2 linked regions of the Cricetulus griseus genome follow. The protein of the gene in region 2 purifies or fractionates together with the protein of the main gene of each other region. This does not show direct contact. Links are inferred from orthologs where the notes say so. Each region holds a gene or a part of one and is shown on either strand. Other genes may lie near its edges.

Region 1 (3,657 bases), on a different chromosome or scaffold from region 2:
ATGAGGCAAGGACACAAGGGGCAGCTACTCCAGAATCTGTTACCTGTGAACACCAGTCACGCTCTCTTCCACAATGCCTCGGATCTTCTTAAACACGTTTGGATACTTCTTATAAACCCAGTGGGTTAAGTCTCCCCCATCATCCAGGATCTACAGAACAGCCAGAAGACTTCTATGGGCATTCAGGCTGCTAGAGCTAGGGGGAACTTTGAGTCCACTTTCTACACTAATGAGAAAGCCCTGTATGCTTTGGAAGAGCACTTCTTAAAGCTCCACAGAGTAGGCTTAGACAGTGGAAATATAGTTAAATCTGTTGGTGTAAAGTGGTTAAAAGAATTCCTAAATGTGTTCTAGGCTACAGTAGAAAGCTTTTTTTTTTTTTTTTTTTTTTTTTTTTTAAAGATTAGCTCTTGTTATGTTGCTCAGGCTGGTCTAAAACTCCTGAGCAAGTACTCCTGCTTCAGCCTCTCAAATGCTGGGATTACAGGCATGCACAACCATGCCCAGCTACAGTAAACAAATTTTACAAATCATGGACTCATTTTTAGCCTGGTTGAAATATATAGCTCCTTTGAATGCAAAAGGAGAGCTGGAGTAGGAAGGAAAGAAATAAGACTCCTACTCCAAAGAGGGGCCTCATCCCTTCCTTCTGTTTACTTTGATGTGATTTGAGACATGTGTCCACTTAAGCTAACCCTTCCCCCACCTTTCCATTGAGTATTCAGAGCGCTTTTTCCTTTCTTCCTTTCTTTCTTTCTTTTTCATTTATTTATTTTTTACATTTTTTGGTGTTGGAGATTGAATCCAGGGCCTTGTGCATCTCAGACCCATACCAAGTAGGTATTGTGTTATAAACACTTTAGCAATAGAGTCAATAAATAAGACCAAACATACAAAAATATACTTAGGGAACCATGCTTTAAGGGAGAAAAGGAAATAAATCCATAGTCAAAAGTATTGAATGGCATGAATTATTACCATGTTAGCTTGCCACCCATCCATGTTGACACAGCGGTCAATGCACCACCAGAAATCATCTTCTGACTCGCCCTTCCAAGCGAACACTGCAACTCCTATGGAGACAGAAATAAATCAACTAATTTTCCTTTGAGGTGTCCCTTAACATGAGCACCATTTTCTGAGATCCATGTGATGAACGGAAGGCAAAACAAACAAGTCTGAAGAGGGAAACTTAAAGAGTAAAAAGTAAAAGCCAAATTAGTACTTTTATTTCAGAAATTGAGAAATTAAGAGATTTTTGTTTGAGAAGTATCTTGAAGCCAGAAAGGCCAATTTTACACTTTATACTGCATCTTAAGGAGGTAAAATGAAATATGTATAACAAAGCTCCTTCTACAGCACTGGACATCAGCAGACATCTCAAAATAATTTAAATGTTCAATTCTAGGACAATGAGGAAGTAAACTTACTTCTGAAAATGCAATGTTTAGGTTATAAAAATGCATACATACTAAGATTTGGTTCACCAATATAATGCACAGGGAAACAGCTTGTCAAATCTTTGGTTACTCTGAATTTCCTAAATCTTCTATAAACACTTATCAGAAAAGAATTAGACAAAATTCTATATATAGTGTGAATTTCTAAAGATCCTAGGAAGGTGGAAGGTTCTCAAACTTCATAGCGATGTTCTTCTGAATATTTTAACAACAAAAATTTATTTTATTTTTAATTAATTAAACTTATCAGCACATACATTTTACTGTACTACTGAATACCAAATAAACAATTAACTATCAATATAAAAGACATTGTTTACAGTGTTCTCTCAAAACTGATAAAACTTTTGGGGAGAAAAAGACACCACTGAACTCACAGTTCAGTATTTTTTCTCTCATCAATTTAACATTAGAATTGGGCATTTCCGTGTGTGTGTGTGTGTGTGTGTGTGTGTGTGTGTGTGTGTGTGTGTGTGTGTGTGTGTGTGTGTGTGTGTGTGTATGTGTGTGTGATACCTTGATTTTAGCATAAATTTCTTCCTGTTCTCCTCACCCCTCTGGTGGTGCTGGGATGGAATTCACTTCTGTGCTGGATGCCAGGGAAATAGTCCATCACTGAGCTTCATATCCAGCTGTGCTGTTTTAAGACTGCCCAAATTTATAGTTCCCAGACATAAATGGCATAATGACAATTCTGGCATATATTTAATTACCTGAGGCAAAGCTGGTAGGAAAAAAGTAGAACTTACCAGCTTCAGCCAGTGCTGCAGCTACTTCATTCTGAGTTGAATAGATGTTGCAAGCAGACCAGCGGCACTGGGCCCCCAGGGCACAAAGTGTCTCAATCAATACCTATATGGATATACAGAAAGACAGGGTGAGGAAGAGTGGGGCTACCCAGGTGCAGGGGACAAAAACCTCAGCAAGAACATAGTATCTATAACTTCACAGCAATTGGCCCTACACTGGAGAGTTATACAAAGGTATAATTCAGCTGTGTGGCACAAAGTTACCTAACTATATATGAAAGACATGCTCCTAAAAGTCTTAAAACATTTTTATAATAATCATTTTACATCCTCCTCAGGCAGATGTGCTAAAAATGGGTTTAGTATATGAACAAAAGCAAAACATGCTACACCATTGTTTGAACAGGGGGTTCTATTCTATCTAACAGCAATTGGACTGGCTAGGTAGGAAGGAAAGGCATGTTTATTTTTAATAAAAAAAATGTTTTCTTCCCTTTTTTTTTTATTAGAAGTCCCTCTGTTTTCTTCCGACAAACTCACCGCTGTCTGGGCCGTGATGTGGGTACAGCCCACTATTTTAGCACCAGCCAAAGGCTTCTCTCCCTGAGCACGTTTCCTGAGTGAAATCAGAGCAGACATGTCTGTGGAAGAACAAAGGATCTGAGCCAGGTCCACACTATCAACACCATTCGATCCTGCCCAGCCACAGTCAGGGTTGGGTCTGCTGAGACATGGTGAGATGTGGTAGAACATGCCAAATGTACTTTCCTGATGACTAGAGGCTTCTCCAATGGCGTAACTGGAGAGTTATAATGTAAGCAATTGGCAGGTCTTGTTTCTGCTATATATACACAAAGGTCTGATCGGAGAATGAACCAAACTTTCAAAACTGGTCAAAGTAGATACAGTGAATCTCCCTAATCATAAAGAGGAGAGGGAAGCAGTTATGGACAGACTTCCGTATGTCCTCATCAAACCAGGAGGAATGACTGACTTCACTGGAAGACACTTGCAGCTATTTTTATCTGCTGTCTTACCCTAGCCAGTCAAGCTTGCCATATGGAACACACCTTCAATATAAAGAAACAGGAACAGAGACCCTTGGGAGTAGTGTAGTAGACTAGAGAAACTAAGATTCAGTTGGTTGTCACTCCCCTTTATTTTGTTCCAGTAGAGGATGCCTGGGACTTAAGGAGACCCAAGGCTTAGCTTAGAACCCTGCCACATCAGCTACTTCTGGGAAATCTGGCTCTCTGGTATTGGCAGCTACAAAAAATATCCCATATAAATAACCACTATGTTGTGATCCAACACTTGCTGACTACTCCCTGTAGACCTGTGAATAGGGTGTCATGATGAGGAAAACAGAAACCACTCTGTAATTACCATACACTGGGAAAAGAAAAAGGGAAAACAAACACAAGTATCCTAAAGCTCAGTTTCCACAT
Region 2 (2,393 bases):
AGGTGGATACTAGGGCCAGTAATTTAGCTCTTACCTCCCAGGGTTCCTCGTGCCCAGGGCTGTAGGAAACTGATTTTGGAGGCATAGATGCTTCGAAGACCAGGAAATAACAAACCCTCTTTATTATTCCCACATCAGATAATTTAAGGATCTCCCTGAGAAGGCAACCCAGGTGAGTTCACCAAAGCCCATCTGAGCTGAAGCAAGTCTCCTTAGGGATTTTTATGATATAGTTAGTATTACTCCCCCAGAAGAAACATACAGGACTCCATATTTAAAGCAGATCTGCTCCAGCTGGGGAAGACAGTGAAATCTTTTTGGTCTAAGTGGAAAGCACAGGTATTCACAGGAAGCAGGCATCAACATACAGCACAGAACTTTTGTGCAATCCTAGCCTCTCCCCAGCCCAAAGAGACCCACTGTGGCCATGAGCGAGGTCTCTCCCTGTAGTGGTTGGCTCTGAGTCAATTCCATCTCTATGTCCAAGTTAAGACAAAGTCAACAAAAGCTGGAAAATCGTCAGTCCTTCAAGTGCTCAGCTCAGGGGATAGTTCTTGGCTGAAGCACATCACTCACATGGTTTCCTAGAGTCCAGAGGGTCCCCCATCAACATCATCCAGGTACATACTGGAGAAGGTGACCTTCACTCTCACCCTAAGCAATGCACTGAGCATCAGCCTCTCCTCCCCCACTGCCTTCCATGGGTTCCTCCCCAATAGGACAGAGGAAGCAAAGGCAAGAGGGTGGCCAGAGGCTTTGCAGGGTGACGTTTATTTGCCAGGTTCAGCAGGCACACAGTTAGCCCACCAACCTTCACATACCAGAGCAGACCCACAGGCATGCAGGGAGAAGGGCAGGACCACCATGGAGTGCCGAGCTAGGGCAAGGACCAGCGTGTGGCTGCCTTTTCAGGCTGTGACAGGGTCGGACCAAGGGCACCTGCCAAGAGCATCCTTCCAGAGACTGGGAATCTTATTCTACTTCCTCATCCCAGAAGAGCAACTTAACATGGCTGAGCGATACCTCAGCCTGTGATAGCAGAAATAGAGGAAAATCCTCTCCATGTTGCTGAAGAGCAGAAAATCTGCCACTGTAAAAAAGCAAACTCTCAAGCAGCCTATGAGGTACTGCCATGCCTCCCTGGGAGGAGTATTTAGGGCCAGAGGATTTATGGCCTGAGCCTGAAAGAGGTGGCCATGGGTAAGATCTCTTCCTGTGGTAGTGGCATCTAGGAAGACCATGGGAACACCAGCCCTCCCTATCTATCTCAGAATAAAGACCCAGACAGGTTGGGGCCCTGGTACTGGTCCTGTACTCTGTTCTCCTAGGTCCCACTGCTACATCCTAATTGTTTCTCCTTTTCTTTAGAGTTTCATAAGAACCAGGATACAGAGTAACCCACTACAGGACTAGGGAGGGCAAGAAACAACACAAGGATCTTCAGAAGGCCTACCCATGGGAAAAGACGGAAGCTTCTACTCTTCTATCAATTCTCTCCCCCACTTCTGAGGATCCCCACAGCTAATGTGCAGTGCCCCCAATCATGTGACCAGACTTGACTTAAAGCACACTGCCCTAGATTCTGCATCCTCTCTAGCAGCCAGCATCTACTCCTAGAGCAACCCACACACCACAGGTACACACCTTCATGTGCAGGAGCCTAACACTGCTGATAGGGCCTCGCTGGAGGACCAGCTCTCAGGGCAAGGCCACCCAATTTAGGGCCAGGGGAAGTGTGAGACTTGCAGGGCCTGCCTGGGGAAATGATGAGGCAGGAAGGGAAGGAGAAGGAGAGCAAGGACCCCCTGAGTATCCCTAGAGCAGTATCCCACAAGGAACAGAAAGTGGTGAAGCGAGCGAAAGACAGAAAAGCCACAAGGAATCCATGCAGGGGCTGGGGCTGGCCCTGCCTCTGGCCTACCCACCACTCACACACATCCACACAGGAGACAAGACTGCTCTCCCATGGCCCCCAGGCATGCCCCACTGGGATGAGGGAGCTTGGGGGGAGCTAGGGCATCATGCCAGTGACTCTATATACAATGAGAAGCCCCTCATCCACACTCCCACCCTCCTTCCCATCCCTCAAAACCCCCACTGGGCTGCCCATTCAGCTCATCTTCTCCCCCTGAGACTCCTGGGCACAGCCAGTAGCCTCTTCTCCTTTACTAGAGGGAGGAGCCTGGCCTGTGGCACCCTCTAGGGCTGTGCTGTCCGGCTGGGCCACAGCCGGCTCAGGGGTGGCAGCTGCCTTTGCAGCTGGCATGGCACTGCTTTGGGTGGTGGGCACTGCGCTCTCTTCTGTAGCTGGTGTAGCTCTGCCATCAGTAGCTGGTGTAGCACTCCTGTCAGTGGCTGGAGTGACACTCCCATCAGTGGCTGGAGTGATGCTC

Evidence for each region.
Region 1: the proteins of Camkv (region 2) and Ahcyl1 purify together in Homo sapiens (affinity purification with mass spectrometry; 3 studies listed by BioGRID and IntAct, counting the BioPlex papers as one, with this or other methods). This does not show direct contact. The link is inferred for Cricetulus griseus from reciprocal best matches to the Homo sapiens genes CAMKV and AHCYL1.

The regions. Positions count from the first base shown.
Region 1 is NW_023276806.1:49,489,216-49,492,872, reverse strand, and holds part of Ahcyl1 (S-adenosylhomocysteine hydrolase-like protein 1), read right to left. Parts: intron 2,851-3,657; coding exon 2,750-2,850; intron 2,313-2,749; coding exon 2,210-2,312; intron 1,074-2,209; coding exon 979-1,073; intron 151-978; coding exon 44-150; intron 1-43. UniProt on the Homo sapiens protein: Multifaceted cellular regulator which coordinates several essential cellular functions including regulation of epithelial HCO3(-) and fluid secretion, mRNA processing and DNA replication.
Region 2 is NC_048597.1:216,135,825-216,138,217, reverse strand, and holds the end of Camkv (caM kinase-like vesicle-associated protein), read right to left. Parts: coding exon 2,111-2,393; 3' UTR 125-2,110; downstream 1-124. UniProt on the Homo sapiens protein: Does not appear to have detectable kinase activity.